Elephas maximus indicus: one gene and its partners. The protein of the gene in region 4 purifies or fractionates together with the protein of the main gene of each other region. This does not show direct contact. Links are inferred from orthologs where the notes say so. Each region holds a gene or a part of one and is shown on either strand. Other genes may lie near its edges. The genes, in order: VBP1, PFDN4, PFDN5 and MAPK7.

Region 1 (7,706 bases), on a different chromosome or scaffold from region 4:
CGTTAGGGTTGTATTCTTTCACCATACCTATTTACTCCATATGCTGAACAAATAATCCGAGAAGCTGGACTATATGAAGAAGAATGAGGCTTCAGGATTGGAGGAAGACTCATTAAAAACCTGCATTATGCAGATGAGACAACCTTGCTTGCTGAAAGTGAAGAGGACTTGAAGCACTTACTGATGAAGATCAAAGACCACAGCCTTCAGTATGGATTACGCCTCAACATAAAGAAAACAAAAATCCTCATAACTGGACCAATGAGCAACATCATGATAAATGGAGAACAGATTGAAGCTGTCAAGGATTTCATTTTAACTGGATCCACAATCAACAGCCATGGAAGCAGCAGTCAAGCAATCAAAAGACACATTGCATTGGGCAAATATGCTGCAAAGGACCTCTTTAAAGTGTTGAAGAGCAAAGATGTCACCTTGAAGACTAAGGTGCGCCTCACCCAGGCCATGGTATTTTCAATCGCATCCTATGCATGTGAAAGCTGGACAATGAATAAGGAAAACAATGAATAAGAAGAGTTGACGTCTTTGAATTGTGGTGTTGGCGAAGCATATTGAATATACCATGGACTGCCAAAAAGAACGAACAAATCTGTCTTGGAAGAAGTACAACCAGAATGCTCCCTGGAGCCAAGGATGGCGAGACTGCGTCTTACATACTTGGGACATGTTGTCAGGATGGATCAGTCCCTGGAGGAGGACATCAGGCTTGGTAGAGTAGAGGGTCAGCGGAAAAGAGGGAGATCCTCAAGGAGGTTGGATTGACACAGTGGCTGCAACAATGAGCTCAAGCATAACAACAATTGTAAGGATGGTGCAGGACCGGGCAGTGTTTCGTTCTGTTGTGCATAGGATCGCTATGAGTTGGAACTGACTCGACGGCACCTAAGAACAACAACAACGTGAGTCGGAACGGATTCAACGGCGCCTAACAAAAACAACAGTCCTACTGCCAGGGCCCCTTGGCTTGGACGCTGGTGTACAGGTTTCTGTTTGCATTCCTGCTTTCACTTCTTCTGGGTATATGCCTAGGATTGGGGTTGCTAGGTTATATAGTAGTTCTATGTTCACCTGTTTGAGGAACTGCCAAACTGTTTTCCACAGTAGCTGCACCATTTTACATTCCCACGAGCAATGGATGAGGGTTCTAACTTCTCCATATTCTCACCATCACCTGTTGTTTTCTGTTTTTTTGATCACTGCTATTCTAATGGAAGTGAGATGATAGCTCATTGTGGTTTCGATTTGCATTTCCCTAATATCTTAGTCTCCCAGCTCCACTGAAACCTGTCCATCAGGGGTGGTCTGGCTGTTATTTGAAATACTGTTGGCATAGCTTTCAGCATCACAGCAATATGCAAGCCACCACAGTATGAGACACTGACTCCAGATGGTGGACTGACAGACTACAGCCTTCAGCATGGATTACACCTCAAAATAAAGAAAACAAATATCCTCACAAATGGACCGATAAGCAGCATCACAATAAACAGAGAAAATGTTGAAGTTGTCAAGGATTTTATTTTACTTAGGTCAATAACCAAGGCCCATGGAAGCAGTAGTCAAGAAATCAAAAGATTAAAAGCTTGCAAGCAGGCATCCAAGGCACAACAATTGTTCTCTATTCCCCTAGAGCAACAGAGGAAGAAGGAGAGTCAGGAACAGGAGGAGGAAATGGAATGTGTAGCTAATTGCCTCCATGAACAACTGCTCCTTTGCCTCCATGAACAACTGCTCCTTTGCCATGAGATCAGAAGAACTGGATAGTGCCCGGCTGCCATTACCGAATATTTTGATCAAAGATTCTATAAAAGAATCTTGATCAAAAGGGGGAAAATGTAGAACAGAATTTAAAGTTCTCATAAACTCCAGACTTTCTGGAGCCATGGAGGCTGGATGATCCCCGGAAAATATTGCCCTGAAATAATTTTTAAACTTTAAACCAAAAATATCCCCTGAAGACTTCTTAAAACCAAACAAACCCCACTGAAGCCATCTTGCACCAGTCTCCTGATTCCTGCCACCTCAAGCCACCATCTCTTGCTGTCTTCCATGTTACAGCTCCTCTCTCCATCTCTCCATGTGTCCCTTTGTCATGGACTGAATTGTGTCCCCCAAAAATATGTGTATCCATTTGGCATGGTTCCCAGTATTGTGTGATCATCCACCATTTTGTCATCTGATGTGATTTTCCTATGTGTTGTAAATTCTCTCTCTATGATGTTGATGAGATGGGATTAGTAGCAGTCATGTTAACGAGGCAGGACTCAATGTACAAGATTAGATTGTGTCTTGAGCCAATCTCTCTTGCGAAGTGAGCAGAGAAACGGGGACCTCATACCACCAAGAAAGCAGTGGCGGGAGCAGAGCATGTCCTTTGGACCCAAGGTTCCTGCATGGATAAGCTCCTATACCAGGGGAATATTGATGGCAAGGGCCTTCTTCCAGAGCCAACAGAGAAAGAAAGCCTTTTCCTGGAGCTGACACCCTGAATTCGAACTTCTAGGCTACCAGCGTGCGAGAGAATAAACTTCTGTTTGTTGAAGCCATCCACTTGTGGTATTTCTGTTACAGCAGCCCTAGATGACTAAGACACCCTTTAAGGCTGGCAGAATGGCAAAACTGATCAATCCCCTTGTTAGGGTTCCATACACCTTATTTGCATGATTCCAGCCCCACAAGGGTGCCATGCACCTTATTTACATTATTAGCAAGCTATCCAGTCCCCTTGGTGGGCCACAAGCACATCATTTGCATATTCCCGCCCTGTCATTTGGTGGGAATTACAAAACCATGGTGAGAAAGGCCATATAAAAGCAATCTATTGCCCTGCAATTGCATTAGGCATATCTGGTGCAAATGATTTCTTTAAAATCTTAAAAAGCAAAGATGTCACTTTGATGACAACGATGTACCTGACTCAAGCCATAGTCTTTTCAGTTGCCTCATGTGCGTGCAAAAGCTGGACGATGAAAAAGGAAGACTGAAGAAGAATTGATGCATTTGAACTGTGGCGTTGGTGAAGAATATTGAATATACCATGGACTGCCAGAAGAACAAACCAATCTGTTTTGGAAGAAGTATAGCCAGAGTGCTCTTTAGAAGCGAGGATGGTGAGACTTTGTCTCGCTTACTTTGGACATGTTATCAAGAGGGACCAGGTCCCTGGAGAAGGACTTCATTCATGTTTGGTAGATGGTCAGTGAAAAGGAGGAAGAGGATTGACACAGTGGGTGCCACAATGGACTTAAACATACCTACTATTGTGAGGATGGTGCAGGACCAGTCAACGTAGCTGTGAGACAGAGCCGAGTTGACTAACAACAATGGTAACGAGGGCTAATGACGTTGAGTATCATTTCTTGTGCTTGTTGGCCATTCGAATATCCTCTTTGGTGAAATGCTCGTTCAAGTCCTTTACCCTTTTTTGATTGGGTTGTCTTTTTGTTAAGTTGTACACAGTTAGATTTTAATAAATGTTCACCCAAAAAAAACAAACCCGTTGCCATCGAGTCCCTATAGGAGAGAGTAGAACTGCCCCAGAGCCTGGTAGATTTGAACTGCTGACCTTTGGATTAGCAGCCATAGCACTTAACCACTACGCCACCAGAGCTTCCTAATAAATGTTAGCCAGTATTATTATTGGAGCCCTGGTGGCACAGGCACAGTGGTTAAGCACTAGGGCTGCTAACCAAAAGGGCAGCAGTTCAAATCCACCAGCCACTGCTTGGAAACCCTATGAGGCAGTTCTACTCTGTCACTATGAGTCGAACTCGATGGCAACAGGTTTTTATCATTATTACGTATATGTGTCCCCACTAAGGAAGGGGACAGGCTTTTATCCCTTATTCATGGTAGACTGTGTCTGAGGGGGTGAAGGGCTCCTCAGGAAGCATTCCAGTGAAAGCAAAGGGAAGAACAAAGCATGGTAGGTAGATGTCAGCAAAGAGACCCAAGAATTCCTTGTTTTCAAAAAATAAAGCTCTTTCTTTCAATGTGTTGTAGTGCAGGACGTTGCTGGGGAAGTTTGTGGGCCTAGGAGTGTAGGTAGAATTCTCAGGAATTTATACAGAGATTATGAAGTTGGAAAACCTTTGAGCTGGGGTTATGAGATTCTGAACAAAGGCGGTTTTCGGGAAAGGTTGGTACGATGGGGGTAGTATTGACTAGAATCAGGCCAGCGGCTGCACTTCATAAGACACCAGCTAAGTCCCCTCCATGGAGCAGGAAGCTCCCTGTATGGTGAGACCGGAAAGGGGCAGAGGCCAAACTCCCATGGTAAGCGTCTAGGTCCCAAGTTAGATCTTGTCCGAGAAGAGACAGGGTCGAACGGGATGCCATTCTGGAGCATGCTGCCTGTTCTGGGGTGGAGTGTAGTCCAGGCTGGTTCCCGATTCCCGGGCTCTCCAGCCCTAAACGCACCCATAAAATCCCCGAGACCCGTTTACCCAAGGGTCGAAATTAGTCCTTCCAGCAGCCCTCAGCCGCTCCTAGGCTGCCGCCTCCACGCTTGTCACTCTGGGGGCAGCCAATCAGCACCCACAGGTTGGGCGAATCAGCGAAGAGTAGCTACTTTCCGCGCACCGATTATTGAGCAGACTCACGGGAAAGGGGCGGGCTTACAGGGCCTGGCGAGCCAATCACGGCCCTCAGGCGGGCCGGCGGCCTGGGAGGCAGTTAGTCTGGAGCCTGGCCGCACACGCTTCCCCAAGATGGCGGCTGCTAAGGACGGTTGTGGCCTCGGAGAAGTGGCCACAGGGAATGGGCGGCGGCTCCACCTGGGGATTCCCGTGGCCGTGTTTGTGGTAAGAGGCACGCGGGCCCGAGGCTCCTTGGCCCGAGGCCACGGACTGAGCTTTCTCGTCCTCTCACCCCACCTCGGCCTTGACTCTTGGAGGACGGAGCTGAGCTCAAGGTCCAGGGCGGGAGTGCTCGGCCTTCTCTCCCTCACCGCATCTAAACGGTTTAATCTCAACTGCGGTCCACCCTGAGGAAATGCGGCCTGAGAGAAAAGGGAGCGCGGGCTGGCGGGACTCAGGGGCGGACGGGGCTCGGAGAGCAGGCAGGGCGACCTGAGGGACCGCACCGCTGCCGGGTTTCTTTAGCTGCGGCCTTTGGAAACCTAGAGAAGGTTAACGTGAAAAAGCTCACGACTCAGCCTAGATGCTGGAGAGACAGACAAATAATTGGACAGAATATAATGAATCGAACGTGGTGTAGGCTGAAGAGTTGGTTTTGAGGTATTAAGATGTGAAAATAGAGGCTGGTACCTAATCTGTGGAAACCCTGGTGGCGTTGTGGTTAAGTGCTACGGCTGCTAATCAAAGGGTCGGCAGTTCGAATCCACCAGGCGCTCCTTGGAAACTCTGTGGGGCAGTTCTACTCTGCCCTATAGGGTCGCTATGAGTCGGAATCGACTCGACGACACTGGGTTTGGTTTTTGGTTTTGGACCTGATCTGTTGAAGGAATGCAGTGATCTGTTGTCTCTGGGGGAATGGTAGGAGAGACGGATGGTAACGTAGATTAGGATGATCCTGAGGTTCTTTGTATGTGTTGCTAAGTAACTGAGGCTTTATCCAGTAGGCAGTGGACTGCCATGAAAAGGTTTCTAAATAAAGCCACGGTATAATCATATTTGGTTTTAGGTACATCATTCTAACACCTTAGTGGAGAATTGGGTTCAGACAGAAGGTGGGGACGCAATTTGGAGGCTTCACGGGGAGACCAACCCAAGTCCAAACAAAGAGAAGCAAGTAAAAAAAAAAAGTAGAAGCTACTAACTCTGTCCTTCTGTCAAGCTATTTCAGAAATATTACTTGAATAACGAGAGAAAATCTCTGACTGTCCTTCCAGGCCAGTATTATCTGTCTGTCCTTACTGAGTTCTGGCAGAGGTACTATAAAATATCAACGGAAGTTTTTCAAACTTTCGGTTTGGTTTCTACCTGGATTGCTTTACCTCTACTTTTTTTGCTAATCATGCCTCACATTCTTCAAAAGACTCATTTCTTTATTATTTTGTGTAGAGCACTTTGATTGGCACTTAATATTGTATGGAGCCCTGGTGGCACAGTGGTTAAGAGCTTGGCTGCTAACCAAAAGGTCGGCAGTTCAAATCCACCAGCTGCTTCTTGGAAACCCTATGGGGCAGTTCTACTTGGTCCTGTAGGGTCGCTATGAGTCAGAATAGATTCTACAGCCAACAGGTTTGGTTTTCAGGTTTATATCGTGTATTTGCATTTGTTGATATAATTTTGTAACTATTTTCTTTGTTTTCTCCCCGAGCTGGTACCATTTATTTCTTTATAATTATGTCCCAACAGTTGTAACAAGAGATAAAATTTTTCAGTGTTTACTATGTGCCAGCACTTTTCTAAGGATTTTGTAAAACTCTAGACGGTAGGTATTCTTATTCCCATTTTGCAGATGATGAAAGTGAGGCAAAGAGCCCTTGAGTAACTTGTCACAGGTCACACAAGGTGTAAGTGAGGTATCTAGGATTTGAACTTAGGCCATCCATGGGGTTCCACAGCCTACCCACCATATTCTGCTAGGTGGAGGAAGGCATGGTAGTTCTCTTGTTGTTGGATGCCATTGAGTTGATTTCTACTCAATTTCCACTCATAGCGACCCCATGTGTGCAAAGTAGAACTGCAGCATAGGGTTTTCAAGGTTGTAACTTTTTTGGAAGCATATCACCAGGCCTGACTTCCGAGGTGCCTCTGGGTGGGTTTGAACTGCTAACCTTTCAGCTGTTAGTTGAGTGCTTAACCCTTCACACTACCCAGCAGCCCATGGTAGTTCTCTTGCTCAGTGTTACTTCTGGTCCTAGCACAGTGCTTGACCCATAGTGTAAGCTCATAACTAAGTGTCACACTTCCTTAGTGCCTTAAACCCGCAGTTCTAAGGAGTGCCTGACATGTTATCAGGAAGGACCAGTCCCTGGAAAGGACATCATGTTTGGTAGAGGGGTCAGCAAAAAAGAGGAAGACCCTCAATGAGATGGATTGACACAGTGGCTGCAACAGCGGGCTAAGACATAGCAACAATTGTGAGGATGGCGTAGGACTGGGCAGTGCTTCCTTCTGTTGTACAGAGGGTCGTTGTGAGTCAGAATTGACTCAACAGCACTAAACAACAATAACAGCGCCTTTTTACTACATTCATGGTGCTCAGCTAGAGATGTATTTAGAAATCTAATTCAGAGGATGAACTTCATCTGAGAGCTTTATACAGTCTTATCTTTATCGTTTTAGATTTTATATTTAGATCTTTGATCCATTTGGAGTTAGTTTTTGTGCATGATGTGAGGTATGGGTCCTATTTCTTTTTTTTTTTTTGCAGATGGATATCCAGCTATGCCAGCACCATTTGTTAAAAAGACTGTCTTTTCCCACTTAACTGCTTTGGGGCCTTTGTCAAATATCAACTGCTCATATGTGGATGGATTTATGTCTGGATTCTCAGTTCTGTTCCATTGGTTTATGCGTCTGTTGTTGTACCAGTACCAGGCTGTTTTTGACTATTGTGGTGGTATAATAGGTTCTAAAATCAGGTAGAGTGAGGCCTCCCACTTTGTCTCTGTTCTTCACAAATGCTTTATTTATCCCGGGCTCTTTCCCTTCCATAAGAAGTTGGTGATTTTTCTCCATCTCATTAAAGAGTGTCGTTGGAATGTGGATCAGAAT
Region 2 (7,457 bases), on a different chromosome or scaffold from region 4:
TGAGGCGTAATGTGTTACAAATGGGAAGTACTTGAAGTGGTTAAGAGCTCGGCTGCTAACCAAAAGGGTTGGCGGTTCAAATCCACCAGCTGCTCCTTGGAAACCCTATGGGGCAGTTCTACTCTGTCCTATAGGGTCACTGTGAGTCAGAACTGACTTGATAGCACAAGACAATAACAAGAAGATACAAACAATTTTATCACAAACGGCAATCATTATGACATGCCGATAAGGTTTCTCCTATAGTGGGCAGAGGGAAAAAGTGTCTGTCTGTGTAGCTAACCTAAAACCAAAACCAAACCAAACCCACTGCCTCCAGTCAATTCCGACTCACAGAGACCCTGCAGGACACAGAACTGCCTGCATAGAGTTTCTAAGGAGCACCTGGTAGATTTAAACTGCCGGCCTTTTGGTTAGCAACCATATCTCTTAACCACTATGCCACCCGGGTTTCACCTAGCAGTGATTACTCCTAACATCGAAAACATCCAGAGCAGCATGTAGCATCTACCACGCGACTCTCGATGGCTCCTAAAGCAAAGAAGAAAACTTTCTGTGTGGCCGCCACTTTCTGTTTCCGCACACGCTCTTTTCCCATCCTGGGTCTCCCCCGGCCCTCTATCCTCTGCCATTCTGGCTTTCCTTTTGTTAAATGCACTCAGGCTCTTTGCAGGAGACACTCCCTCTCTGGAATGCCTCGCCCCCTCGGAACTTTCCCTTCCTCTCGGTGTGTAATCTAACAGATCTCTGCTGAAATGACACCTTCTCAGGAGGGCCTTCCCTGAACTCAGACCAAACCTTACTCCAGTCCTCATTTCACAAGTGCCTTTTCTTCACAGTTCTTACCAAAGGTGGAAATTTTATATTTTTTGGTGTGATAATTTGAGAAACAGGCTGCCTTTCCCCCTAGAGCACATGTTCTGTGATGCTCTGAGGACAACGACTTTACTCCTATTCACCTAACACAGAGACTATGCCATATTGCCTGCTCGAAAATCTCTGCTGAATGAAAGGATAAAAGGTTGGCAACCGCTGATTTAACCGAACCCATAATGGAGTACCCGATGGAAAAATTTTGCAAAGTCCAGGGTTCGAATAATTTTTCTACCATTTCCTCCATTTCTCTACACATCAGTGTCCTCATCTGTAAGATGGGGGCTAACATAACTAATATCTTTCAGGGTATTAAAGGTCATACCTAACAGATGGACCAAATTAGCAAACTGAAGGTGAAGTGAATCTCCCAAAATTTCAGACCTGTTTGAATCACCACGGCCCTGAACCCTCTTCCAGTCCTCAATAAGCATTTGTGAATGACAGACCAGTAGGGTGACCAGCTCATTCCAGTTTTCCCCAGGACTTTACTGGTTTTACCACTGAAAGTCCAGGGTCTCAGGAAACCCCTCAACCCTGAGCAAACCAGGATGGTCTCTGGAGACCAGGGAGAGGTGGCTTAAACTATGCAATACTGAAAAGTAGGAGAGCAAAGGAAGCAAATGCTTCTGAGGTGGCCTCAGAAGTGGAATGAGAACAGACATACAAAAACCTTGGAAAGCAAGCACCTTCAGCCAGGGGATTCTCATGGCATGGGAGTTAAAAACAAGGCTCTGAAGGCAGAAGTCCTGTTTAAATTCTAGCTTTGCCTCTATGCTTGTTTCCTCATCTGTAAAATGGGGATAAAAATATCACATCCCTATAAACCTGTAGTAGCACACAGGAAAGCCGCAATAACTATCGACTGGCATTATGTCCTTGCTCCGCCACCACCACCACCCTCATTTAATTTTTCTTTTACCTGGAGATCTTTAAGCATCGGGGTAGATTTACTGGATTGTAAATCCCAAACTGGAACCCTGGTGGTGCAGTGGCTAAGAACTCAGCTGCTAGCCAAAAGGTCGGCAGTTCGAATTCACCAGCCGCTCCTTGGAAACCCTATGGGGCAGTTCTACTCTGTCCTATAGGGTCGCTATGAGTTGGAATCCACTCAGTTGTAACGGGATTCGTAAACCCCAAATAGGAAGCAACTTGCTTAGCAGGAAAAAAGGTGGCTTTGGGAAAAAACAAACCAAACCTGGGTTTGAACCCCAGATATACTATTTATGAGCTCAGTCACTTTGGGGACACTAACCTCTCTGTGTCTAAGTTTCTCCACCTGTAAGGGGGAAAAGGGGAGGATAAGGGATAACGGAAGACTGCTGGGTCCTGACACAGCCTCTGGCTTCAATACCGGTTTTAGCCTTGCGGGCTCAGGGGCATGGAGTATGGACGTGAGCACCTCAGGGCTGGGCGCACCGACGTGAGGCCAGATAATCCGGAGGCGCAGGTCTGGCTCTGCCCCTCACCTGCTCTGTTACCTTGGGTAGGTTCCTCCACCTCTCGGAAGCTCAGTTTCCTTACCTGTGGGCGAGGGTACTACTAGCACCTACCCAGTAGTAGATCCAGGGAAACCGCTTAGTGTGATGGCCAAATGCGGTCACTGAGAGCTTCGGCTTCCCACACCCCAAGGGCCGCGGGGTCCTCAGACCTCCCAGGGGACTCAGCACCGCGAGAGGCGGCCTGAGCCTGCCGAGGGTCCCAACCCGGGCACGTCGCCTCTGTCGGGCGGCGGCCTAAGAAGACGCCCGGGGCCGCCGGGCGCCGGCAAGCCTCGCCGCGGGGCCATCCTCAGGGCTGAGACCTCGAACCCAGGCCCCACGCCGGGGCTCAGAGCTGCGCATCCCCAGCATCCCGCTGCTCCGACCCCCGCGGCCGCCCCCCGCCGGCTGCCGGAGCACCCGACACCCCGAAGGCCCCACTCACCGCCTTCTTCATGGTGGCCGCCATCTTGGGACTCGACTACGGCGCGAGGTGGGGAGGGCCGCAACGGCGCGATTCTCCCCCGTGCCCTCTCTCACTTCCTGTTGGCCCTGATCGCCTGAAAAATACAACACGATCTCCACATTCCCTTCTCGAAACCTTCAACCAACGATAACTAACGACTCGAACTCAGGAAGGAAGATGAAAGCTGAAAGCACTTGGTACATCCCAATTAAAGGGACAGGCAACCCCCTGTGGGCCCACGGAAACAGGGGGGTGTGGCAAGCAGCCACATAATCCAGCAGCCGGCGGTAGGGGGCGCCCAACGCAAAAAAGCGCAGAGGGGCGGGGCCGGGAGGAGGGGCGACTCCGTGGGCGGGGCCTGGAGAGGAGGAAAGGGAACTTCTATTCCATCTATCCAACAAACTAGCATTTTGATAAAGAGCTAAGAACAAAGGGCTTTGACAATAGGATGTGATATTTACGTGCACTGATAATTCAGAAGGTGTGAAGGAAGAAGTACCCCAATTAATTAATCTATTCCACAATATTATTGGACAACTACTGTAATTTTTTTTTACTGTGTACAGCTTGAGCCTGCCAGTTGCTAACTCAGCAACTCTAGATCGTGATTCTCTTTGTCCCTTTTTTAATACCGGGACTCCTTTGCACTTTTAAAAAGTCACGGAGGACCTCAAAGAGCTTCTGTTTATGTAGATTATATTTATCGATATTTACCACACGAGACCTCTTTAAAGTGTTAAAAAGCAAAGATGTCACTTTGAGGATTAAGGTGCGCTGACTCATCCATGGTATTTTCAATTGCCTCATATGCATGTAAAAGCTGGACAGTGAGTAAGGAAGACACAAGAAGAATTAGTGCCTTTGAGTTATGGTGTTGGAGAAGAATATTCAATATACCATGGACAGCCAGAAGAACGAACAAATTTGTCTCAGAAGAAGTACAGCCAGCGTGCTCCTTAGAAGGGAGGATGGTAACACTTCATCTCACGCACTTTGGAGATGTTATCAGGAGGGACCAGTCCCCGGAAAAGGGCATCATGCTTGGTAAAGTAGAGGTTCAGAGCAAGAGGGGAAGACCCTCAAGGAGATGGATTGGCACAGTGGTTGCAAAGATGGCCTCAAGCATAGGTACGATTGAGGATGGGGCAGGAGTAGGCAGTGTTTCGTTCTGTTGTACATGGGGTCGCAATGAGTCGGAGCCAACTCGACAGCAAAACAAAACCATACAAGAAATTAAAACATAAAAATATATATATGATTTAATTAAAAACAATAAGTTCATTCCATATTAATGTAAGCAACATTTGAATGAAAAATAACTGTTTTCCAAAACAAAAACAAATATTGAGAAGAATGGCATTGTTTTGCACTTCTACAAATCCTTCTAATGTCTGGCTCGGTAGAAGGTTGTATTCTCGTATCTGCTTCTGCAGTCAATCTGTTGCGATATGCTATTTAGTTGAAATACAGTGAAACCTGTGAAAGCCGGAACTCGATGGGAGTGCCTTGTTTTTCCAAGTTTTGCAAGTTTTCCCACCTTTGACAAGGTGCTTACTAGCTCTGTCTATCAAGACTCCTACCTCATTTTGGTTTGGGGTTTTCCTTCTCCAGCAGGTTTCTTCCTTACACAATTTCCAGCTTTCACAGGTTTTACTGTATATGAAGGAAATCTGGCTTCACCCAGATGTATAGTTGGAAAAAGGAAGCCCCTGTGGTTTCACTGGAAAGATCTCAGGGATCCCCAGGGGTCCTTGGGCCACACTGAGAACTGCTGCTCTAGACAAGTCTTCTCCTCTCTCCAAGTTCCAATTTCCTGTTTGGTTAAATGGGGGCAAGGGGACCTTATAGTGCCTCTGCTTTCCCTACCAAAGCACTTAGCCCCACAGTGACTTTGCCTGTTCTTCCATCAGATTCCCCGCTCTGGGCGCCAGGCCCTTTGTAGGCAAGTCTTCCCAGCACATAGCTCACACTTGCTCAGCACATATTTGTTGAAGGAAGGAGTTTCTTCAGGTTAAGTCTTTGCACAGGGCCCAGCACCTAGTAGATGCTCCATCAGTGACACCCATTCATGCAAGAGCTCACAAAGAACAGCTATATGGAAACACTGTAGAAGCAGGCAATGGAGGGGGAGACAGGACAAAAGCACAAAATCACCACAAATGGCACCAAGTGCATGAAGGAAACAAACGAGGGGCTGAGACAGAGAAAATCAAAAGAGCAGTAGAGACTGGCCCTGTAGAGGTGGCCACTGAGCTACGAATAGGAAGGAGCCAGCCATGGGGTAACCAAAGGAAAAGGACACCCCAGACAGAGGGGGCATTGGGGTGGCCACTGCAGTAACTGCTGGGTGTAACAAGTGGCCAGAAGCAGGTGAGGCCAAGGAAAGGTGAAACCAAGAGGATCTAAAGTGACAAATGACAGTTGTGTGAATCAGAGACCCATAAAGTAGGCTTGGAAACTCAGATGGTGGTGCCTGGAGGATACCTCTGGGGTGACTGAAATAGATTCTGTTCAGGTACTCACAATTAGGATGGTCCGCATGCTAATAGATGTGCCGCTGAGTAGCTTCCTCATCAGGGGCAAGCTTGTTATCATGCCTTCTCAACATCTGAGTCTCTTGTTATCTATTCATGGAGCCTAAATGCTACACCAGGACATGTTTGGCTCTGAGGACAGAAGGCCTAACTGAGAGTGGCTGGTATAATAGGGGGTCATTTTTTTTCCTCTAACAAGTGACATGGAGGTAGGTAAACCCTGGTGGCATAGTGTTTAAGTGCTATGGCTGCTAACCAAAAGGTCGGCAGTTTGAATCCACCAGGCGCTTCTTGGAAACTCCATGGGGCAGTTCTACTCTGTCATATAGGGTCACTATGAGTCGGAATCGACTCGACAGCAATGGGTTATGGGTGGAGGTAGGTGATGGCTGGGCAGGCTCAGCAGTTCCAGGAAGTTCTGGCTCTAGACTGGATATTCTGTGAGTCTTTGGCTTTCCCTTCACAAGATGGCTGTTGCTTCTCCAGGTCCTCATACAAGTACATATGAAGACAGGGAAAAGGGGACAGAGCCCACGTCACCGTTTACGCTCCCCCTCATGTGTTCTCTCTCTCTCTCTCATGTTCTCTCTTTTTCAAGGAGGGAAACCTTTCCCAGAATGCTCCAGCACCCTTGCCCTTATGTCTGTCTTTTGGGCCAGAACTGAGCCATATGCCAACCTCTAGCTCAGTCACTGGCAAAAGCAATGGATTAGTGATTACCTTAAACAATCATGATTGTTATGGCTGAAAATATGGCTGCCTAAATACAATTGCCACCACCTGTCTGTCAGTGTGTCATACTTTGGTGGCTTGGCTTGTGTGTTGCTATGATGCTGGAAGCTACGCCACTGGTATTTCAAATTCCAGCAGGATCACCCATACTGCACAGGTTTCAACAGAGCTTCCAGACTAAGACAGGCTAAGAAGAAAGGCCTGGCAAACTATATCTGAAAATCAGCCAATGAAAACCCTATGGGTCACAACCGAGTATTTTCTGATAAGTGCTGGAAGGTGAGCTCCCTAGATTGGAAAAAAAAAAAACAAAAAAATTTAGATTGGAAAAAAAAGGCACTCAAAATACACAGTGGCCACAACAATCAAGTCTAGCCTGCCAACAATTGTGAAGGTGGTGCAGGACTGGGCAAGGTTTTGTTCTGTTGTACTTGGGGTTGCCATGAGTTGGAGCTGACCCTGGCAACTAGCAACAACAAACACAATTGGGTTTCTGAAAACAAGGAAAAGGAAGAAGGAGGTAACAGCTGTTGGGCCAGCAGCCAACAGTGTCTTCCACGTGGGAGTTCTGGGTTATCAGACGAGGATTGTCAACAAGGGCTGGGTCAAATGGGGCTGGACAGAGGCTCAGGGACGAGGGGAGTGTCACTGAATCTGGACAGATGGACTGCTCCCTGACAGCCTTGGCTGTAAATTGGCTCACCTTGGAGACCCTTGTTTCATTGGTGCTCAGAGGTTCTCCTCCATTTTTCACAGTCCGTACCCCCTCCTCTCCCCAGCCCCGGGTGTCATTTCAGCTAATCTCTCTCCTAGCAGGAAACCCAGTTCTGCAAGTACACATCTGGGACTTTCAAGCTTTCTGCTTAGCATTCTTTCAGTTCCTTAATATCGAGAATTTCCAACTTTCATTTCCAGCTCTTTCGTTGGCTGGGGACAGTCCTTAGCTGTTTGCAGCAGAGAAAGGAAGAAGCCCAGGGTGTCCGTGGGAGCATCCGGAGACTGCAGGTGAGGGAAGGAAATCACTAATGACCCCAAAGACCACTTGGAAATACCATGCTGACAGAGGGTGAATGATGGCGTTCGCTTGCATCAGGTTGAAAACTGGCTGCCTGCTACTGTATTCGACCCACAAAGAATTTTTTTTTTTTTAATTGAACCAGCATTTAAACATTGGCATTTTTTAGTGTTGCTTGAGCTTGTAAGATCAAGTCTTGTCGACGCTTCACTTCCTCCTGAAGGTACCTGTTGATGCTGCTGATTAAATGGTGACCCATTTAGCTAAGCGGCCCTCTCCAGAGCCCGCAGATCCCCACTCATGGAATGGATACACAATTGGAGGAGCTGCCTCTGTGGTGGTCTACCTGTCAGGCC
Region 3 (7,427 bases), on a different chromosome or scaffold from region 4:
CCACTGGACCACCCCATTCCTAGTCCCTGATTAATGCAAAAACAAAAACATTCTGGCCAGCTGGCACTTTTATTAGCGTTAAACACAAGCTCGACGAGACCCCCGCCCCCGCCCTAAGAAGCCATGCCCACAGAGTCCCAGGCCCCTGAAGCAGGGTCCCTCCGCTCTATTTCTGCAACAAGTTCAGGCCTTGGCAGTGGCCTGAGCTGCTCCCAGAGCTGTGAGCTGCTGAATCTTCTGGCTCATCATCTCCATAACAGCTGTGGACGAAAAAGGAAGAGTAAGACCCTGGTCAGAACCTAACCTAGAGGTAAGGAAAAATGACAGGTTTGAAGGCAGACCACTATTTACAGTTTGTTAATAAAGTTTTTAACACAGTGATCCACTGTGGGAGACACACAGTAACACAAATTCAGATCCTACAATGTGTTAAGTCATCAATACATTAACGAATGAGCAAAGCTATTTTTTAATGAGTCAGACATAACCAGAAAATTATAATGTGATAGATTTTTGCCTTTAGAAGTAGTTCTAAGTCCTGACTGCAACAGAATCACCTGGGGAACTTTTAAAAAACACTGACCCCTGGGAACAATTCCCAGAGATTGATTTAGTTGGCCGGGAGTGGACCCAGGCTTGCTTTTTAAACTTCCCAGGTGATTCAACGCACAGCCAGGGCTACAATTGCTAGTATTAGTTTGGGCTATGTTTCTTTCCTGCCATTCTATTCCAATTAGATAGGAGCTCCACAAGAACACAGACATGATTTCCTTCCTCCAAATTTCTCAAGCACCCAACCAGGGATCTACAAATAGTGGGTACATAGGTCGAAAGAGTAACACAGATCTAAAGAATGATACGTGAAAGCACCACAGAAAGAGATACAAAAACATGGTTTTAATTTAGCAAAAGGAACACACCCATGATTCACCCTGCAATCCACTTCTTTACCATGGAGGTCAAAAACAGTGTCAGGAGGTGCCCCAGGCCAAGCTTACCCTGTTTCATGGCATGCTTTTCCTGCAGAGCTGGCTGGATTTTCTCCATCTGCTTGGTAAGGAAGTCTACCTTCCTCTTGAAGAAGTCCTTGGCATCCTCAGCTGTCTACATAGGTCAGAGGTTAATGGGGGATAAGAGCAGACCTCATGCTGCACCTTAGATATTTCCCTGTTTAGAAGGGCATCCACGTTTCCTCCAGCTCACCTTCTCTACATAGTAGCCAGTTCCCACATCGATGAGCACATGTTCCACATCATGTAGTTTCCCAGGGACATACATCTGAGAAGCAAGGATTAAGGGAAAAACTAGCCTAGCATTACCCTTGGTTCCCTGTCAGCCAGCCTACTTGACCTCCTAAGACACTTCTTTTCTAAAATGCTGAGACACAGGTACTGAATAATCTAGAGGCTTGAGAACTATACCTCTAAACTCCAGATGGGGAAAGACAGAGAAAAGTTGGTTCCCTATGGAGAAAATGACATAAGATGGAACACTCTCTTGCCCTGACCCCATCCCCCACCCTCCAAGCAGTTTTCATTAAGACTTCATATTAGCTATTCCAGAAAGTCTAGACACAATGTTTTCCCACTGCTCTAGCGTAGTGAAAGTGAAAAGTCAGCCTTGTTTTTCCTTAACATCTCCAACCATGGACTAGATAATTCCTAAGGGATTTAATGTTCATTATTTAACCATTCCCAACTACACTGCTAGCCCTTCACTACAGTGCTATCACACTTCAAGTCTATGTACTCCCTGGTACTCACAAGCTGTTAGCTGGATGTTGGCCCCAAGTTAGATAGGGGAGCTGGAAAGTGTGTATAATAAGAGGAGTGTTCTCAAAATCATGGGGGACTGTGGAGTAATCAAAACTACCTTCCGGCCCTTTTTTCCCCAGGGGAAAGGAAGAAGGCAGGAGAGCAGTTCTTTTAGCCTGTCAGTTCTCAGACTACAGATTACAAACGCTGTACCACCATAACCTGCTCATGCAAGTAAAACACTCAACAGGTGGACACAATCCCTGTTGCTTAGCGACCGCAGTTTAGGAACAGTTTCTATATCCTATTCTTCTATTGCTCGTGTCTTCTACCTAGTTTACTAGCCAAAGTGTAAACCCCCAGTTTTATCTCCATATTACATTAATATCTTCAAACAGCAAAAGGGAAGTGTGTATAATAAGAGGGGTGTTCTCAAAATCATGGGGGACCGTGGAATAATCAAAATTACCTTCCCCCCTTTTGTTCCCCAGAGGGAAGGAAAGGAGAAAGCAGGAGAGCAGTTCTTGCCGAAAGGATACAGAACTCGTCAGTGGGACAAGTAATTCTTTCCCTGTGAAAGCAATAAAGACAAACACCTGGGGAAAGTTGGCAGCTCCAACGTTAAGACGTTAAAGGGAGTTCAAACATGGCACAGCACCCAGAGAAAGAATGAAAAGAACAGAAACAGGGGCAGCTCTAGCTAAGCAACATGCAAAGGGTTCATGAAGCAGTATACAATATGTAATGGATTGTTTTCTTCCCTCAGGTAAGGAAAACTAGATTAGGAGGTGGTACGAGAGGAGAAGCCGGCTTGCCACATTCCTCAGGTTGCCCTCACCCGCCTAACCCATACCCTCGTTGCTCTTGTTCAGCACGTTCAGACAGTCCTTGGCTTCCACGTACTTGGTCTGTACCACTTTGAGCTGGGCAATGGACGTGGACAGGAATTCCACTTCCTGCATATAACGGGAAACAGGGTCCGTACAGGGGCTTGAGAAAGAGGGGAGCACGGCCGGGGAGGGGGCGGCACCTGGGACGCGGTGGGGCTTTCGGCTGGGAACGGAAGCTTTCCAAACTGGGGAGGAATGCGGGCGAGGGAGTAGTGTGGGCAGGGGAGATATGAGGCGGAAAAGGGGCGTCTCAGGGGCCCGTCCCCACCTGGTCCAGCTGGTTCTTCAGCATTTCTAGCTGCGGTAAATTCAGCTCCGTGATATTAACCGACTGCGCCATGTTGGGAAGGACTAACGAAGGGAAAGCCTGTTCGCCGGCAACGCTCTAGGCGTCCACTGCACATCTCTATGGCTGCGCCGGGAGGCCTCGCTGCGCCGGACATCTCTATGATCCTCCGTCTCGGAAGGGAAGGAGGGACTGCCACCTCTCCGGCGCTCCCGTTTGGTTAGAGAAGTTAACGACGCTCATTCTATAAAGAAACCTAAACCTAGTTCAGTAAAGTTGTAGCAAACAAGACTCCTGCCATCCAGGAACTTAAAAATAAGACAAGTACTGTTGAGTTGATTCCGTTTCATAGCGACCCTGTGTACAACAGAATGAAAACACTGCCGGGTCTTAAAACCACAGTATTGGAAAGCAACGTAATGTATGCTACTCCACGTGGGTGGTAGTGACTGATAGGCAAGGAGCAAGTTCTTTGGACAAATGAATATGAGTCTGGAGGCGGAGAGAACGGTAAGGAGGTACCATTGTCAACCAACAAGTACAGCAGAGTTTATTGATTAATGCAATCTATTTTACCATGTGTTGTATGAGGCATCCATCATCCAGTTTCTTACTGTGCTGGCTTGCATGTTGCTATGATGTTGGAAGCAATGCCATCAGTATTTTAAATACCAGTAGGGTCAGCCATGGTGCACAGTTTTGAGCAGAGCTTCCAGACTAAGAAAGACTAGGAAGAAAGGCCTGGTGATCTACTTCTGAAAATTAGACAAGGAAAACTTTATGGATCACAACAGAATATTGTCTGATTGTTTCGCTTTGGACACATCATCAGGAGGGATCAATCAGTCACTGGAAGAGGACATCATATTTGGTGAAGCAGAGAGCCAGCAAAGGTGATGGAAAAACCCTTGGTGAGATGGATTGACACAATAACCACAACGATGGACTTGAAAATGCTGGTGATTGTGAGGATGACAAGCCTAGGCAATATTTTGTTCTGTTGTACATGAGTTGTACGTGTTGTCCATGAGTTGGAGTGGACTCAATAGCAGCTAACATACAGATAAACATAAGTTAGGAGGGATATATGGAATGTAAAATGCTATTTGTGCTTCAGAGGAGCTTACAGTCCATAAGCAGAATTCCACACACAATCTGCTGCTACAGTACATGGCACTGCCAAGTGTAATAGCTGCACCTTCAGAAGAGAATAGCTAGTCTCTAATATCCACTTAGGAGAGGGGCAGGGCAACTGAGGACTAAAGCTAGTGTCACTCCCAGGATATAGACATGATGGTAACTGGCCAAGATGCTCTCAGTGAGTCTATCTCTACCCTTGGGCCTCTATCCCCACTGAAGAGTATTTTGATGCACTTCTCTCCTTCAGCTCTGTCTGTTGAGGCCAGGCCAAACCAGCTGTTCAATGGCTTTGTCTTCCCAAGGCTCTCAGACTTGAATTCCTGCAATCTGTTCCCACTCACTTAAGTGCCACATACCACATAGTAGGAGTGGGGCAGTAATCTTGTCTTTAAATGTTCTCAAGACGAGTTGCATAAAAGAGAGTTTAAATAACATCTTTATTATATTAAGTCGAAAGGAAATGTTTCATATAAAACAGCGGGGAAAATCACTTAAAATATTTAGCCTAATGGTTTAATCTAAGTTTGGAGATAGAATAGTCACATGGCTTCTGTCAGAGATACGACACTTCCAATGGGTTACCGGAGAGAGACAGGCAAGCCATAGGCGACTGGTGCAGCTCCAATAAGATACTTGAGTCTGGGAGCCTGGCGGGCCTGGCTGACATAGTAGAGAAGGGGGGCCCCTGGACCTGCTCCAAGCCAGCCCTGCAGCAGAGCCGCCGTGTAGCGATCAATGTCACGGTCAGTCACATCCCAGAGATTACCCAGAAACAAGGGGCTGGGAAGAGAAGGGAAGAAATACAAAGTAAGGGCTCTGAAAGAGAATACATAGGAAAACATGATTGGGTGTGTATGGGGTAAGTAAAGAGGGCTGAACTAATGAGGAACTCCCTTGGCCCAGAGTTCTAAGGGTTAAAAGTCCTGGCATACCAGGGAGCTAAGACAGGAAGAAAGTAGAGCATAAGAGAGGTAGGTTCAGGGTTCAAAGCTGGGAAAGAAGGTGGAGTGGGAGCAGGAGTCTTGACGCCCCAGGATGGGCCTGCCCCTCAAGACTCACCAGCCAGCCATGATATACTTGAGCACAATGCCAGCTCCCTCCAGGTTTCCATGCACAGCCAGGGCCGCACTGCTGCAGCCAAACAGCAGGGCCACTGCCCGGCAGCTCAGCCGCAGGACAGCCTGCCCATCTAGGAAGCGGGCACCAGCCCCATGTCCTGCATAGCTAGAGTAGAAAGGGGAGAGATGAGCCTTGACCTACCAGCATCGTGTCTCTGCCCCAAGGCAAACCACAGTGGTCCCCTCCTGGGATGCCCCTCCCCGCATCTCCCCCTCTCTGAGCACTCACATATATAAGTCATGCTCCGTCAGGGCCGCCTGCACCTGCTCCGGGCTTGGGGTCTCCCCAACCACCCCTCTCCAGCCGGCTTCACTGCAGGGAAAAGGCAGCAGTTAGAACAGGGAATGGCATGGCAGGGGCCATGAAGCAAAGAGGACGCTAGGTAGAAGGCGGACTACAGCAAAATTCTGGAGAAAAGGACATGTTGTCTCTACCCTTCCCACCCGCCTTTCTTACTCTCACCCCTCTGACCTGCTAAAAGTGGCTCGAAATTGCTCCTCTGTGCTTGACAGGTTATTGTGAGGGTTCAGGACATAGAAGGTGCTACGTGGATCCACGCCTTGGCTCAGCACTGATGAGGCCCCGGACTGAGGAGGAGACACTGGTGATCAGGATACTGGTCTGGCCAGTAGGCCCAAGTTCCGGCATGCTCCAAGCCCCTTTCCATTTCTGACGCATTCCTAAGGCCCACTCATGTCTCTAGAGCATTCTGCCTGTGTCTTGCCTCAGGTCTCCCCCAGTAGCCAATCATCCCCAGCTCCACACCTTGAGCCTCACCTCTTTGATGATGGAGTAGGTGAGTAGAAAGCGGAAGGAGGGCAGACGGGTGAGAGGCAGTGCCCGGAGGCTGGGCATGGTCTCCCATGGCAGCTTCTGCAGGTCCTGGGCAAAAAGTACTCAGAGGTTACTGTCCCCAGCCAGGTATACATAACAGGCAGAAGGCGCACAGGGATGGGACAGCACCCATTGTCCATCTGCTCCTCCAGCTCCTTACCTTATCTAGCACCAAGACAAGGTGCCTATTGCTTGGCACTGTCAGACCTTGTAGATGTCCCACTGCCTCACTTAGGAGCTCTCGGGCTCTCTCCGGCTGGGCTGGGCACAGCCCATAGGCCAAGGCCTGAATGTCCTGAGGGGTGAGAGTACTGGCACCGCTGAGCAGGATCTGCAGGGGAACAGTGGTTAGTGGGTGCCATCACCCACTCACAGTGGCCTTTTTGCTAGTGGAAGAGAATTAAGTCCGCAGGCTAACTGCTTCTTCCCCTCCCTGCTTTCTTAACTCACTTTCAGCAGAGTGGGATTGGGATATTTCCAGCCACATTCCTGCAGCAACTCCTCTAAATGGGAAGCCTCCTGGCCAAGGCCTGGGTCCTCACTGGATGGCAGCAACAGCCCCCGCCAGCAGCCCAACACATACTTCTCTAGGGAAGTGATGAGAACCTGAAGGTGGGAGAACAGAATCTTGAGTCAGAGAGGAAGCTAAGTTTCTTTCCCCATGGGTACCAGCATTCTGGAAAGAAATGAGTTTTCCAATGTGTGTATTTGTCTTGTATATCTTTCTGCCAGTCATAGAAGGTAAGAAACCAGGGGCTGGGACTCTGACATGGTGTCACTCTATTTTGACAAATGTGACCAAATCCAGTTGCTGTCAATTTTGACTAATGGTGACCCCATGTGTATCAGATTAGAACTACGCTCTGGCATCCCCTGAGCCATTCCTAGGGCAGGTCTGCCTTCACCCCACCCTGGGGGCACACACCTCCATCCTATGATCCAGTTCGAGTCGCCCCTTCCACCATTCTCGCTTGTCAGTACAGCTGCTGTTCTCTTTCTGTTCCTTCTGGATGGCATCAAACTCCTTTAGGGCTGAGCTCAGAGAAAGCTTTGGGAGACAGGGTCATGAGATCTCTGCTTGTCTGCATGACTGCCATCTCTCCATGCCCCAGCCACAGAGCCTGAGCAGCCTGACCAGAAACCCACGCCAGCCCTACTTTGTCCCCTGGCCCAGGAAGCCTACCTTGCTTTGGGAAGTGGGGATCTGCACAGTGACCGGGGGATTGTCTTTTTCCAGCCGGGTCAGCAGGAGGGTGTTGCCCACAGTTCCAGGCTGGAGGGTGGCCAGGGCCAACACACACACAGTCACCCCTGACACAGAGGACATACCCCAAGTTATTTCAGCTGTTGCAAAGAATTCCCTTCTCTGGCTTCTGTACTAATCCCTATCCAACACTCGAGATA
Region 4 (6,869 bases):
CGGGGCACGGTGGTGGGGCTGGCGGGGGCGACTCCATGGCACAGTCCCCACCAGGTGCCCAGGGACTGGGCATCTCAATGTCGGGACAGCCAGGCTCACTGGCCACAGGGTGTAGGGAAGGCTGGAAGCGGATCTGCTGGCGGATGCCCTCACGTCGGGCATGGAAGTCCTCAATCTCAGCCACGATTGCCTCCTTAATACGCTCCCGGGTGAGGGCTTCACGGTCAAAGGCAAAGTCAAAAGGTGGAGCACAGTCAGGCTCATCATCAGGGTCATGGTACTTGGCCAGGAAGGGGTGGCGCAGGGCAGCAGCTGCTGAGATGCGGGCGCCAGGCTCGAAACGTAGCATGCGGCCCAGCAGCGAGAGCGCCTGTCGGTCAGCGCCTGGGTACACCGTCTCCCAGGGCACGGGCTGGCGTGGTGGCAGGCTCTGAATATAAGCCCGCACCCTCTCAGCCCCCACAGCTTGAATCACAGCTGGTGACGGGGTACCCAGCACCATCATGATCAGCTGCAGCTGGTGCACATAGTTTTTGCCTGGAAAAAGCTGGCGCCGGGCCAGCATCTCCCCAAAGATGCAGCCCACAGACCACAAGTCAATAGCCTGTGTGTACTCATGCAGTGAAAGCATGAGCTCAGGGGCCCGGTACCAGCGCGTGGCCACATACTCAGTCATGAAGTACTGGTGTTCGGCAGGCGAGGTGCACAGGCCACGGGCCATGCCAAAGTCCCCAATCTTGAGCTCACAGTTCTCATTCACTAACAAATTTGAGGGCTTGAGGTCACGGTGGATGACCTGAGCCGAGTGCATATACTTGAGGCCTCGAAGCAGCTGGTACAGGAAGTAGCGCACATGCTCCAGCGTTAGTGGCTGTGAAGAGTGGATGATCTGGTGCAGGTCACTCTCCATCAGGTCCAAGACCACATAGCTGCAAGAGAGGCGGAGAGAGGCATGGGCTGGCCCTCCCACTTCAGGGAATAGCCCTAGCCTCAGTGCTCTGTCCTGACTCCAGACAGGTAATGAATGACCTTACTCTCTGCCCCACGGAATCCGCAGCATGGTATGGAGGAAGAACAGATTCTAGCTTGTCTACAACCGTGCCATAAAGTGGGTTAAATCACTTTTCTCTCTGGACCTAGTTTCCCCATCACGTAAAAGATGGATTTGGCCTAAACCTATGCTGGCTAATAGGTTTAATTTTGGGACTATCTCCATTGTTTGGTAATGGCTGCTAGAAGAACTATGACAAAAACTGGGAGGACGTGTCTACTTTCCGAAGAAAATTGTTCCGTGATTCATTAGCAACGTCTGCCAAGGAGTAGAATCAGTAGTGATGGTATGAATGTCCTATGTCTGCTACCAAATATACCGAGATTCTATAAACCTTAAACTCTTCTCAAGGAATAACAGTTGCCCTGGCAAGTCCATAAAGGAACATTTGTCCTGGAATCATCGGTATTTTCCCAGCCTGCCTTTACATTAGATTCAGCTGCCTTTTCGGAACTTCAGCAATATGGCACCAGCCTTCAGAAAAGGTCCCAACTCTGCCTCCTTTTCCCAGCCCCACTCCTTACACAGATTTGAACTCGCCATAGGGCACCATGGGCCTCAGGATGTCCTTGATGGCGATGATGTTGTCATGCTTAAAGTGTTTAAGGATCTTCAGCTCCCTCAGCGTTCTCTTGGCATTGGTCACCACATCAAAAGCATTAGGGATCTTCTTGATGGCCACCTGCTGGCCTGAAAACAGGGAAAAGGCAAGAACCAAGGAATGAGGATACAAATAACAACAGCTACCATATACTTACCACCTATATATACTGAATACCAAGCCTTGTGCTAAACACTTTACAAACATTATCAAATTTACCCTTCACAACTATGTTATGAGGCAAGTTGCACAGCTAGTTGGCGCTTGCATTAAGACTAATGCCTGTACTCAATCTATCTCCTACATCTCTCTCCATCTCAGACTTTACCATCCTCCCCCCCACAATCCTATATGCCAGCCTCTAGCTCCGGAATACATTTCTACCTGCCTGTGTCCCAGAAAGTAGACTGACACAATGGCAAAAGCACCAGACCAGAGTTTCAGAGACCTGTCCTTAACATGGAGCCTGGCCCACTGATGGTACCTAATCAATATGTGTTGAATTGAACCAGAATTCATATTCTTCCTTTCCTTCCTCCTTACGTGAGCCTGGGCAGGTTACTCCCTCTCTCTGGGATCCAGCGGCCCAGCCTGTGAGAGGTGAATGGCACTCCTGTCCAGGGGAGTGCTAAAGGTGGGAGCAGATCAGAAGCAGGAAGAGGGGCTCCTTGCCTGGGGACCTGGCTCACCCGTGAGGCGGCGGCGAGCAGAGGACACCACCCCGTAGGCCCCATTGCCTATGGTCTCGATGATTTCGTACTCCTCGCCCACGTCGAAGGTCACATCGAAGGAGCGGGCTTTGAGCAGAGCTAGGTTCTTAGCCGCCACCGAGGCTGTGGGATTGGCGGGCTCTGCCTTCACTTGCCCCGGAGGCTCCCCGGAGCCGTCCTCGCCGTCTTCCTCCTTCAGGGGCTCGGCCATGGCATCTGTGTAGAGATGCGGGTAAGGAGGGGGCCACTCCCAGCCTCAGTTTCCTCTCTGGGGGATGGGGCAGCAGGGCCATGAATTTTCAAGTTCCCTAAGCCGATGGGGCTGACAGGGAGCGAAAAGATGCGGCTGGCACGTGGCAGGCACGCTGTACCCGAGAGGCGGTGCCCACGCTGGGGGTCAAGGGTTAAACGCAGGGACAGCTGTGGGGGAGGGGCTGCGAGCCGCGGTCTGGGAAGAAAAGGGCGAGGCACTTGCGTTTCTCTTAGATCTACACTCACCAAACGAAGCCTGTCCCGACACCGCCTCAGGACGTTTGTAAGTTCCCAGGGCTCCCGGCCTATTGTCCGCAGTACAGTCGCTCACTGCTTTTCAAGAGCCGCGGCCACCACCTCAGCGTCGCTCTTTGCCGGGACAGACCCCCCGCCCCGCCCCGCCCCGCTCCGCCCCCCAGACCACAGGCCCTCCAGTCTTTAGCCAATCGTCGAGCGGTCTCTGCAGAGGGTCCCGCCTCTCATGGTTGTTGCGTCCAATCGGAGACGACCAATCGAGGAAGCCTCGCCTCTTCGCTGCGCGTCCGCATGTCGCAGTCCAACGCGCGGGCGGGAGCCGCCCAGAGGCTGCTTAGCGCTGTAATGGGTGTGCACCCCGCGGGGCGCCGCCCTCCGACGCATACGTTCTGGCAGCAGAGGCCCGCCTGAATAAAAGACCGCGCCCCTGTATTTACGCCATCCCTGGGTATTGGGTAAGACGCGTGCGCGCTGGCTCCCGAGGCGCGAGTGAATGGAAGACCGCACCCCTGTACGTACGCACGCGCACGCACGTCATCAATCGACCAATTACCGGCGCTGATGAGCCGCTGATCCCTCCCCCTCCTCCGAAGGCCGGCAGAGGGGGTGAGATGTGTGCGACCACCAGCTTGGCTGTCAGTTCCTTTGGACCCCTCTTCCTTTAACAGTCCTCATGGCCCGGGGGATTGAGGTCCCCATTTTCTCGGTCCTGTTTGTCTGCTTTGGGAATGCACCCTTCCTGGAACACAACAGTGGTCACGTCGAACCACAGAGATCCCGGTCTTCCGGGATTCTAGAGCGTCCGGCCTGGAACCGCCACTGACTTCCGGCGGCTGGTCTCACAGCTTGCGGCGTCCCTGGATTTCAGCGCGTCTTTTCTTGGCCTTTTTGCATGTTTCCTGCACGCCTCTACTGTGTTTTGCGACTCCCGTGCTCTGGGTCGCCGCGGAGACGAGGGCGATCAGCAGGCCGAGCTGTCCAGCCTCTGCCCTTCCAGAGCCAGAGGGCCAGCTGAAGCCCAGAGAGGGCACAGCCGCATTAGAACCCAGGAGCCCTCAGCCGTCCCAGGGCCCAATCGTTCATTCATGTAAAAAAAAAATTGCCACCAAGGTGATTCCGACTCCCAGCGACTCTATAAAACCAAAACCAAGCCCCTTGCTGTCGAGTCCATTCCGACTTATAGTGACCCTAAAGGGCGGAGTAGAACTGCCCCATAGGGTTTCCAAGGAGCACCTGGTGGATTTGAACTGCCCGCTTTTGGTTAGCAGCCCTAGCTCTTAACCGCTACGCCACCAGGGTTTCCAGCGACCCTATAGGACAGGGTAAAACTGCCGCCACGGGATTTCCAAGGCTGTTATTTTTACAGAAAGGAGCCCTGGTGGCACAATGGTTAAGTGCTTGGCTGCTAACCAATTGGTAGGAAGTTCAAATCCACCAGATGCTCCGCAGGAGGAAGATACAGCTGTACACCTCTGTAAAGATTTACAGTCTTGGAAACCCTATGGCGGCAGTTTTACCCTGTCCATTGGGGTCACTGTGAGCGAGAATCCACTCGAAGGCGACGGGCTTTTGTTTTAATCTTTACAGAAGCAGACTGCCACATCTTTCTCCCTCAGCCTTGGAGAAGCTGGTGAGTTGGAACCACCAACCTTTAAGTTAGCCGCCCAGTATTTAACCACTGCACCACCAGGGCTACTTATGTTCACGTAGCAAACATTTATCAAGCAGCATCCCTCTAAGACGCAGGGTTAAGGAATCAGAGGTAGATGTAGTCGCCAGTGTGAGCTGGAAGGAAGTTTTCAGCAGCGAGCAGAGCTTGAGGTAGGGCTATGAAGGAAGAAGCAATTTTGGAGTTGGGACTTAAAAGATGGCTGGGTTTCTGCCAAGTTAGATGAGAAAGAAGAACACTGGGACTGGGAAACAGGTGAGCAAAAGTGTGGAGGCAGAGAAGTAGAGGAATGCATGCCCTCTGCAGGTTTCTCCTTTGCCCTGAATTTGAATGGAAGAGGGAGAGATCAGGACAGAGCCCAGTAGTGAGTCTGAGGGCCAGACCAAGGGTTTATTTCTTATGTCGCAACCTAGTGGCCAAAGGGCTGGATCCAGACCAAAAATGAATTTTGGTAAACCTACACTTCTTTTTTTATCCATAAGGCTTTCACTAGCCAATTTTTTTTTGGAAGTAGGTCCCTAGGTCCTCTTCTTCGTAGTCTGTCTTAATTTGAATGCTCTGCTGAAACCTTTCCACCATGGGTGAACTCGATGGTATTTGAACTACTGGTGGCATAGGTTGCAGTATCACAGCAACATGCAAGCCACCACAGTATGACAAACTGACAGAATCAAGAGACCATCTCCAGAATAGATTTGACGCGTTGAACACTAATGACCGAAGACCAGATGAGCTGTGGGGACAACATCAAGGACATCATACATAAAGAAAGCAAAGGGTCATTAAAAAGACAGGAAAGAAAAAAAAAGACCAAAATGGATACAAGAAGAGACTCTGAAACTTGCTCTTGAACATAGAGTAGCTAAAGCAAGTGGAAGAAACGATGAAGTAAAAGCTGAACAGAAGATTTCAAAGGTCAGCTCTAGAAGAGACAGTAAAGTATTATAATGAAATGTGCAGGCCTGAAGTTATAAAACTAAAACGGAAAGAACACATTCATTTCTCAAGCTGAAAGAACTGAAGAAAAAAATCAAGACTCGAATTGCAATATTGAAGGATTCTTTGGGCAAAATATTGAATGACACAGGAAGTATCAAAAGAAGATGAAAGGAATACACAGAGTCACTATAACAGAAAGAATTGGTCGATGTTCAGCCATTTCAGGAGGTAGCATGTGATCAACAACTGATGGTATTGAAGGAAGAAGTCCAAGCTGCACTGAAGGCACTGGCGAAAAACAAGGCTTCAGGAATTGATGAAATACCAGTTGAGATGTTTCAGCAAACAGATGCAATGCTGGAAGTGCTCACTCGCCTGTGCCAAGAAATGCAGAAGACAGCTACCTGGCCAACCAACTGAAAGAGATCAATATGCGCGCCTATTTCAAAGAAAGATGATCCAATGGAATGCAGAAATTATCAGACAATATCATTGATACCACAGGCAAGTAAAATTTTGCTGAAGATAATTCAAAAATGGTTGCAGCAGTACGTCAACAGGGAACTGCCAAAAATTGAAGCTGGATTCAGGAGACAGCATGGAATGATGGATGTCATTGCTGATGTCAGACGGGTCATGGCTGAAAGCAGAGAATACCAGAAAGATGTTTACCTGTGTTTTATTGACCATGCAAAGACATTGGACTGTGTGGAACATAACAAATTGTGGATAACATTAAGAAGAATGGGAATTCCAGAACACTTAATTGTGCTCATGTGAAACCTGTACATAGATCAAGAGACAATCATTCAAAGATAACAAGGGGATACTGCATGGTTTTAAATCAGGAAAGGTTGTGTCAGGGTTGTATCTTTTCACCATACTTATTCAATCTGTATGCTGACCAAAACTGAGAAGCTTATATGAAGAAGAGCGTGGCATCAGGATTGGAGGAGGACTTATTAATGACCTGTGATGGGCAGATGACACAACCTTGCTTGCCAGAAGTGAAGAGGACTTGAAGCACATACTGAAAACCAAAGACTTCAGCCTTCAGTATGGATTATACCTCAATATAAAGAAAACAAAAATCCTCACAATGGGACCAATAAGGAACATGACAAACAGAGAAAATACTACGGTTGTCAAGGACTTTATTTTACTTGGATCCACAATCAATGCCCATGGAAGCAGCAGTCAACAAACCAAACGCCGTATTGCATTGGGCAGATCTGCAAAAGACCTCTTTAAAATGTTAACAAGCAAAGATGCCACTATATGCCTGACCCCAAACCATGATGTTTTTAATTGCCTCGTATGCATGCAAAAGCTAGACAATAAATAAGGAAGACCGAAAAAGAATTGATGCCTTCGAATTATGGTATTGTCGAA

The links.
Region 1: the proteins of MAPK7 (region 4) and VBP1 purify together in Homo sapiens (affinity purification with mass spectrometry; 3 studies listed by BioGRID and IntAct, with this or other methods). This does not show direct contact. The link is inferred for Elephas maximus indicus from reciprocal best matches to the Homo sapiens genes MAPK7 and VBP1.
Region 2: the proteins of MAPK7 (region 4) and PFDN4 purify together in Homo sapiens (affinity purification with mass spectrometry; 3 studies listed by BioGRID and IntAct, with this or other methods). This does not show direct contact. The link is inferred for Elephas maximus indicus from reciprocal best matches to the Homo sapiens genes MAPK7 and PFDN4.
Region 3: the proteins of MAPK7 (region 4) and PFDN5 purify together in Homo sapiens (affinity purification with mass spectrometry; 3 studies listed by BioGRID and IntAct, with this or other methods). This does not show direct contact. The link is inferred for Elephas maximus indicus from reciprocal best matches to the Homo sapiens genes MAPK7 and PFDN5.

Annotation. Positions count from the first base shown.
Region 1 is NC_064846.1:784,950-792,655, reverse strand, and holds the start of VBP1 (prefoldin subunit 3), read left to right. Parts: upstream 1-4,698; 5' UTR 4,699-4,730; coding exon 4,731-4,823; intron 4,824-7,706. UniProt on the Homo sapiens protein: Binds specifically to cytosolic chaperonin (c-CPN) and transfers target proteins to it. Binds to nascent polypeptide chain and promotes folding in an environment in which there are many competing pathways for nonnative proteins.
Region 2 is NC_064843.1:15,426,230-15,433,686, forward strand, and holds the start of PFDN4 (prefoldin subunit 4), read right to left. Parts: upstream 3,021-7,457; 5' UTR 2,824-3,020; coding exon 2,800-2,823; intron 1-2,799. UniProt on the Homo sapiens protein: Binds specifically to cytosolic chaperonin (c-CPN) and transfers target proteins to it. Binds to nascent polypeptide chain and promotes folding in an environment in which there are many competing pathways for nonnative proteins.
Region 3 is NC_064822.1:108,807,065-108,814,491, reverse strand, and holds PFDN5 (prefoldin subunit 5), read right to left. Parts: upstream 3,021-7,427; 5' UTR 2,985-3,020; coding exon 2,913-2,984; intron 2,711-2,912; coding exon 2,608-2,710; intron 2,326-2,607; coding exon 2,294-2,325; intron 1,279-2,293; coding exon 1,204-1,278; intron 1,105-1,203; coding exon 999-1,104; intron 261-998; coding exon 184-260; 3' UTR 84-183; downstream 1-83. Other genes in the region: ESPL1 (separin), read right to left, coding at 4,649-4,850, 5,130-5,294, 5,418-5,501, 5,661-5,776, 5,967-6,071, 6,184-6,354, 6,474-6,629, 6,949-7,071 and 1 more. UniProt on the Homo sapiens protein: Binds specifically to cytosolic chaperonin (c-CPN) and transfers target proteins to it. Binds to nascent polypeptide chain and promotes folding in an environment in which there are many competing pathways for nonnative proteins.
Region 4 is NC_064820.1:213,458,310-213,465,178, forward strand, and holds the start of MAPK7 (mitogen-activated protein kinase 7), read right to left. Parts: upstream 3,001-6,869; 5' UTR 2,861-3,000; intron 2,579-2,860; 5' UTR 2,574-2,578; coding exon 2,342-2,573; intron 1,742-2,341; coding exon 1,576-1,741; intron 930-1,575; coding exon 1-929. UniProt on the Homo sapiens protein: Plays a role in various cellular processes such as proliferation, differentiation and cell survival. The upstream activator of MAPK7 is the MAPK kinase MAP2K5.